2 linked regions of the Rattus norvegicus genome follow. Each later gene encodes a partner of the first gene's protein in a complex. Links are inferred from orthologs where the notes say so. Each region holds a gene or a part of one and is shown in the gene's direction. Other genes may lie near its edges.

The links.
Region 2: the proteins of Sdcbp (region 1) and Sdc4 are in contact, whole or in part, in a crystal structure (PDB 8BLV), measured with the Homo sapiens proteins. The link is inferred for Rattus norvegicus from reciprocal best matches to the Homo sapiens genes SDCBP and SDC4. Residues at the interface, in NP_001007068.1 of Homo sapiens: Gly207, His208, Val209, Gly210, Phe211, Ile212, Phe213, Lys214, Thr219, Val222, Asp251, Ser252, Ala255, Leu258; in NP_002990.2 of Homo sapiens: Thr193, Asn194, Glu195, Phe196, Tyr197, Ala198.

What each region holds. Positions count from the first base shown.
Region 1 is NC_086023.1:24,311,472-24,315,384, forward strand, and holds the end of Sdcbp (syntenin-1), read left to right. Parts: intron 1-400; coding exon 401-572; intron 573-1,197; coding exon 1,198-1,289; intron 1,290-2,083; coding exon 2,084-2,138; 3' UTR 2,139-3,241; downstream 3,242-3,913. UniProt on the Homo sapiens protein: Multifunctional adapter protein involved in diverse array of functions including trafficking of transmembrane proteins, neuro and immunomodulation, exosome biogenesis, and tumorigenesis.
Region 2 is NC_086021.1:173,575,639-173,579,451, reverse strand, and holds part of Sdc4 (syndecan-4 precursor), read left to right. Parts: intron 1-352; coding exon 353-551; intron 552-3,199; coding exon 3,200-3,351; 3' UTR 3,352-3,813. UniProt on the Homo sapiens protein: Cell surface proteoglycan which regulates exosome biogenesis in concert with SDCBP and PDCD6IP.

The sequences.
Region 1 (3,913 bases):
AGTAAGTGAAAGGAACGAATCCGTGAAAATGTCAAAACTGAGATGTGGAAAGTGCAGGGAAGTTTAAGGCTTAAATGTCTGAGACCAGCTGGTTCCAGAGGTGCTGGAAGGACTTAGTGGTTTAGTGGAAGGGCATCTGGCTCACTGTTAACGCAAGGTATGTGGGCTGTGGAGGGAAAGCGCAGTGATAACTCCATGGAGCACTATGCTCTCTCCTCACACTAACAGGGTATCTCAGTAGTGAGTCAGTCAACCCGTGTGACATGTTAACCATAATAGATTATTAGAAACACCTAGCGCTTACTGTAGCAACATACCCCATGTGGCAGAGTTTGTAGGCATGCGTGTGTATTGAAATAGGAAGTGGAAGTTTCCGTCTAACACAGCCCTTATGCTTCAGACCCTTTGAACGGACAGTTACCATGCATAAGGACAGCAGTGGACATGTTGGCTTTATCTTTAAAAGTGGAAAAATCACATCCATAGTGAAAGACAGTTCTGCTGCCAGAAACGGCCTTCTCACTGATCACCACATCTGTGAGATCAACGGACAGAACGTCATTGGCTTGAAGGTAAGGAACTCACCTTACCTTGAAGGTAAGGATCCTGGTTTCGGTGTCATTTTTTTGTAGAAAACATCATTTAGGTGGCAGGGCTTTTGTGATGACCCCCCAGTCACACTTGGTGGGAGGTAAGTGCAGGAGCTGGGGCTCTGGCTCTAGCTTAGGCCATCCAGAAGTAACTTTGGGTTATTTGAATTACCTTTCCTATGCCAAGGTGGCTAAACTGTGATTACGGGCATTCCTTAAGCTAGAATTCTGTTGAGACATGGGCAGGGAAATATTCAGACATTCTGAATGGATGCATGGCCAATTTTTTCATTCCAGAAATACAGAAAAGGAGTAAGTCTTGGTACTTAGTAATCCTTTGTATTTTTGTAGATTTTGACTAAGTCCATAAATTCTAGAACACAGTTAACTGTGGCGCAGGTAGTTCTCAAGCAAGAAAAAAGAGTTTTGTTCCGTACCTTAACTTTGCTACTAGCTTAAGAAAATTATATGTCAGATTAAAATCAAAATTCTGACATACCGGGACTGGGACTCCAGCGATATCAGCAGGACAACATCAAAATATAGTGCCTTTTTTACCTAACAATAGAGAACACCTTAGTGAAACTTCATTCTATTGTTTCATCAGGATGCTCAGATTGCAGATATACTGTCAACAGCTGGGACTGTGGTCACCATCACAATCATGCCTGCCTTTATCTTCGAACATATTATTAAACGGTAAGTAGATTGGGAGCTCTTCCACTTATGCTTGCCAGCACCTGACACACATGTAAACACTGCCTTCGGCTTGCAGGTCTTCTGCATATTAGATTAGAAATCTGGTCACGGTGGTTCCTAATGGGTGGCTTGCCTGCGAGGTATTGAGAGTGGCTGTTGCTGTTCTCTCCTGTGTTTTAGAAAGTAGAGAGCTGCATGGTGCTCACTATCTGTCCTTGGGAACCGAAGAGGGTACAGTCATAGGCCAGCAAGGTGGTTCTATCCAGAGTTTTCAGATCCTTTGTTCCTTCATAGCTGTTGCCATGCTGTCTTGGACACACTTCTTCCAGAGCCCTGATATAGCACATGAAAGTGAGATTTGGAATATACATAAACGTAACCTTTGTAATGGATTTTTGTTTATATGTTTGGGTTTTGGGTAGAATGAAGCTAGCTACCCTCAGAGCAGGAAAAAGAGTTGATTGTTGTACAGTCTTTTTTAACTATGGTAGGTTCCTTATCCTCCCTCCTTTTCTTCTGAGTCATCACAGTCGTCCATTTCAGTTAAACAACCAGTCTTAGTGTAAAGGCCTCGCACCTTCTCGCATGTCTATCCCTGACGTAAATATCTATTCTTCCTGGACAGTTTGTGACAACTCAGATATTAGTTCCTTAGATCTGTGCTCATTTAAAGACCTTTCCTTCTTCATCAAATTCATCAGCACAACAGGTGCTAAACTGGAACTGGGGTTGTCTTAGGTGAACATGGTATTTTTGAAAATAAGACGCCAGTTACATGAGTGGCTCTCTTGTAGGATGGCTCCCAGCATTATGAAAAGCCTGATGGATCACACCATTCCTGAAGTTTAAACCTTGTACAGTGCATCACCGCCGAACGCTTCCAGTCTTCCTCTTCGGCAACTTCTCTATTTCACCGCACATGAAGCTTTCCCGGATCCAGGGAGACTGTGCTGCATGGAGACCTGTCTATCTTCCACCATGGCTGGGAACCTCACTCTATCTGAGAGCGTCTTCAGATTTTAAGATAGGTGTAGCCTTATCCTGGTTTTACAGATGTGAAACTCTCAAAAGATTCCCTGACTTTCTAGACTTGGTTCTTTACTGGGAACCTGATGTTTTTCTATAAGCCATTGTGATTAGGATGACTGGTGTAGGCTTAGCTGTGTCCGAGAACTGGTCTGCTTTCTCCGAGAAGTGCACAGTGCTAGGCACGTGCTTCAGTTCTGTGGCATATGTGGATTGTAGTACATCAGCATAGTACCTGTAGGATGATTGCCTTTGATCGCTACTTTTTAAGTTTGTGTGTGAGTGTGTAAAATTCCAGTTAATCAACACTTCCATTCCACAAAAGCATTATACAGTTCTGTGTAGGTGGCAAGAGACTAATGATTGTCACTAAATTCTAACTACCTTCACTTAATGTGCTTCAGTTGTCGCCTTAACTACAGTAAGCATTTAGAATAAAAGCCAAAATAGAATTATTGCTGCCTTCTGAAACCTGAGAGGTTAGCTCTCTATCAAGCTGTTCTATGCTAGCCCTGAGCAGCTTACTGGTGTCGCAGAGCTGCCTAGCTGTACCAAGATTTTCTAGTCACTGCATAAAGGAAACGCCTAAGAGTTGCCGTATTGCTTTCTGAGATACAAATTGCTATATATTTCATGTAAAAGTTGTTATACTAAATAGGATAAATTTTGGAGTCTCTTTTTCACTCGTAGATTAAGTGGGTAATATCTAATTTGGCACTTGAGTCCTAACATTATGTAACTTTAGCTAGGTTGGGGTGGGTTTAGAATGTTTCCCTAGTCATCTCAGTTTGTTCCATTTTCTGACTCTATCCTGCAAACAAAAATGGCAATGACACTTTATCCTGACTCTTTCCTTCTTAGTTTGTGCCTATCTTATTATTTTATGTGATATTATCCTATTAAATGTATAAAAATATTAAATGTCAGTCTGTCTGTGATTGCATCAGTCCTTACTGTGAGGTTGCCTGACACCCAGGGTCTCTTAAGACAGTCCTAGAGCTCAGACTGTCTGGCAGTACACTAGCTGGGAGTCTTTATTGGCCAGGCCGTGGCCCTCTTCACCCTGCACACTTGATGTCATGGGACCACACTTGCTGGGAGGCCTAGATGCCCAGCCTGTGGCCACCTTCTCCCTGCATACCGGGCGTCAAAGGAACCTGGAAAGGCTGCTGGGTCCCTAGTAAAGCCAGAGACCATCCACATGTATTAGTGACACTTAAAACTAACTCGGGGTTCTACTACTTTAGTCTGGCTCAAGAATTTGTCCTTTTCACTGTAACCATGCTTCCAATAGCACAGAAAATTTGTAGCTGCTGTTCAGAGACTGAACGGAAAAAAAAAAAATCTTTGCAGGCTCTATATAGGCTACCTTGTTGGAAATTTATAATTCCCAGTTTGATTATCTACCTTGCTCTATGGACTTGTTCTGAATGTAGGTCCAAAAGAAATGAAATTGTATTTGTGTCATTAAGTATGGTTTTGTAGAAGGATTAGTACTTGTGATTATTTAAATAAGACAAGGGAGAAAGTGCTTTCATTACAGAAAAATATTTTTAATGTAGAAAAGATGAACATTTCGTAGCATAATGAAATATAAA
Region 2 (3,813 bases), on another chromosome or scaffold:
CCTCATCATTTTTACAGCTGCGTCCTGTTCCTCTGGTTGACAAAATGGTCGTCAATCGATTTTGGTACCCTAAGAGTAAAACACTCCAAGCGTTTGACACACACTCTCTGCCTTAGGAGAGCCTTGCAGGTGCAGAGTCGCCTTCCTGAGGGGCAAGTGGGCCCACATGACCTGTACTGGCTGCTCCAGCGTTTGCCTACCGAGGCGTGAAGGCTGCCGCTCCCCCACGCCTCTGCCTGTGTTCATTCCCGCCTGAGGCAGATGTGACTCCCACCCACCCTGTGTCATCTTCTAGGGTCCCCTTCCACCTAGCTTCCTCTCCAGGTGTGCTCAGTGTCCTCTCCATTTTCAGGTGCCACTAGATAACCACATCCCCGAGAATGCCCAGCCTGGCATCCGTGTCCCCTCAGAGCCCAAGGAACTGGAAGAGAATGAGGTCATTCCCAAAAGGGTCCCCTCCGACGTGGGGGATGACGATGTGTCCAACAAAGTGTCCATGTCCAGCACTTCCCAGGGCAGCAACATTTTTGAAAGAACTGAGGTCTTGGCAGGTAAGACTGTTTCCTTCTCTCAGGTTCTGGAGGGAAGAGGGAAGCAGACAGGCGGGCATGGGTGTGTCTTTTGATTTGCATTGGGGCAGCTAAGGGCTTTATCTCCCTGAAGGGGTGGTTGGGAGGGATAGTCGAATGCATATTAAAGGCTTCTAGAGAATAGAACAGGAGTTGTTTCCTTAGGCCCCTTTGGTGCTTTTCAAAGTCTTTTCCCCTGGCATCCGGAGTTAATTATTTAAGGGTTAATTTCCCTTGAAAGCCTGGAAGTCCGGACTGGAATTAGATTGGATCCCCTTTCACCCTCCTATCTATCTCTTTATCTCTCCATAGCAATGACCTTGGCTGGTTGCTCTTTGAGTATCCTGCCTTCATTTACCCCTCTGTGAAATGGGAAGGATGGTGCCTCCTTCTGTGAAGGGCTGTGCTGTCTTCAGAACTCTCGTTTGTCTCTTAGTTAGGACACAGGATGTTTTTATGGTACAGAACTAGAATATGATCCTTGTCAGGGGGATGTGCTGCCTTGCATGAAGCTTTAGGAGAGGCTGTGTCAGGCCTGGATGAGGGACATTAGTCGGGGGTAGTGCCACTCATTCAGGCCGCTCAAGATGAGTGGGTATCTCTATACCAGGTTGTCTAGGAAGGAGCAAACTTTCCAGTGAGGCAGGCAGTCTGGGAGGACTGGCTGGTGAGGAGGTGTTGGTGCTGCAGGCCCTTGCTAGGTATTTCCTGTCTCCTGGAAACCAACTGGGCCAGAGGAGACTGAGGTGTAAATAAGGACCCCTGTGCCCATGTCACTGTCCCATCTCCTTCCTTCAGGATCTCACTGGCCTTGTCTTGCAGGCCCAGTGACAGGGTCACAGTGTGGTTCTGCCTCTGGTCTTGTCAACATTCATTCAGCTTTTCCTTCACCAGTCTGCCTTGGTGGCTGTCAGAGCAAGGGCCCTAGAGACCGTTAGGCCTTGTTTCGAGCTTTGTGGAAACAACTGTTCTGTGGGGCTTCAACCGCAGAGTTTCACTCTCTCATAGTTTAGACCTGCTGGTTACCGGTTTTATTTACACGTGGTGTTTTAGATTGGTTCATTGGTCTTTTTTTGTTTGCTTCTCAAGAAAACTTCGAAAACCAGTCATTCTTCTCTGTGGGGCTCACAGAGCTAGAGAAGAACTAACCCCAGGCTAGCTCACTTTTCCACCCTGTGGTCACCCCAATGTAAGATCTTCCCTAGGAAAGATCCATTTCTCTAGCTCCCGTGGCCTCACCATTGAAAGGACAGTGAAGTCCGGCTGGAACCCTCCACTTCAGTAGCTTTTAAATAGCGCCTAGGAGTTCTGTGACGTGTGTGTTCTGTGGCTCCTGTGCACTCATGGAGTCTCTACGGTTTCCTAAAGTGGAACCTGAATAACTGGTCCAGGTCACAGAGCCAGGACATAGTGAACTCTGCTTGGATCTGGAGCACACAGTTGGCTTCTGAACCTGCGGCTGGTCCTTGCCCCTGCAGGGTCTCCCAGGGCAGATCAAGGGCCTGAAGGAGAAGTTGAGTTCTGGGAGGGAAGGAGCTGGAGACAGGCTGAAGGTAGCTTATACTTTTTCTTTTGGTACCCAGCAGCATTTTTGTTCTTGGTTTGTTTGTTGGTAGAAAAACTCTTGTTGGTACTTCCGGCTCCCCTGCACCAGTCTCTGTGTAGATTTGTAGCGTATGCAGGGCTGGGAAATTAATCTTCTTAGCCTAGGGTAAAACCGAATTAGGAGATTCAATCTGCCACGGGAAGGATTCTGTCCCTGCCCCTGACAAACAGAAATGAGTCATTCGGGCCACCTGGAGGGTAGACAGATGCTCACCCACGTGGAGAAGTGTACCACTGCCTGGCTCTAGTCAGGAGCTCTTCACAGAGCTGGAGGGTGAGGGCCAGGGTGAGAGTTGTGAGGAACAGGAGAAAGCCAGAGGTTTACAGCTCGGAGGGCACTGGGCACTTGAAGTAGATTATCGTAGTCTGAAGGGAAAAATGTAAGAAAGGGGTTTGTTTGCTGTTGCAATGGGAGAGAGGAAGAAGCTTGCCTCGTCAGCTATAGTAGCTGGGAAAGGTGTGGATTTCAAGGAGAAACCAGTGGGAACCACTGTTGAAGACACAGGAACAAAACCATGAGAATCGGAACTAGTTTGCACTATGACAGTCTAGACATCCGTGTGTTCTACGTGTTCGTAGACTATGGTGGCTGTCCCTGGATGCATGGGGCTAGGTGGGACCTGTGCACTCGGGGGAAAGGCAGAGCGTACCCCGTGGTAAGGACGGAAGCATCTACATGAGTTGCTGCCACCCGCCAATTTCCTTGGTCCTGGCTTAATGCTGCTGTTGCTGGAGAGTGTACGTGATGTCTGGAGAATGGGCCTGAGGTTTGGACTAGGGCAGATGTGGGATGGAATGTGGTGTTGCTTTGTGATCCACTCTAGCTGTGGTCTTACTGCTTCGTCATCTCCTGTCTGGTGGAAGCCGTGAAGGTCCACGCCAACGAGGTGTCATCTTGCTTGGTGTAGGGGGTGGTCTTGTCGAGATTGACTGATGGTGGGGGGAGGCGGGAGGGAGAGCTCGTGGACCCTGAGGTTGCAGTGACCGCCCTCTCAACGCTCACTCCTTGCTCTCCCCTACTGCAGCTCTGATTGTGGGCGGCGTAGTGGGCATCCTCTTCGCCGTTTTCCTGATCCTGCTGCTGGTGTACCGCATGAAGAAGAAGGATGAAGGCAGTTACGACTTGGGCAAGAAACCCATCTACAAAAAAGCCCCCACCAACGAGTTCTACGCATGAAGCTTCTTCCCATGAGTGCTGCTTGGACTTCATGGGGAGAGGAGTTGAGGATTGTGGACAGTGGACATTGGCAGAGAGAGGGCACCTTAATACTGACTTGTATCTCCATCTCTGGTCACCTTTCTGGTGTCAGAAGAGATATGATCTTCTACTGTGCTGCCTCAGAGAGAGAGAGAGAGAGAGAGAGAGAGAGAGAGAGAGAGAGAGAGAGAGAGAGATGGGATGGGGTGCGGAGGGAGTGTCCGTGTGTGTGTGTGTCCGTGTGTGTGTGTGTGTGTGTGTGTGTGTGTCTGTCTGTCTGAGTTGCCCTGGCAGAAAAATGGGGTTAAACTTGTTCTTTCTTGAAGGCAAGCCTGGAATTGGGTCTTTTTGTTGTTGTTTCAAATTTCTAGAATAGAATGTAGGACCAGTTTAGTTCCTGCCGTTAACATGTCTCATTTATGACTGCCTTTATTCTAGAGG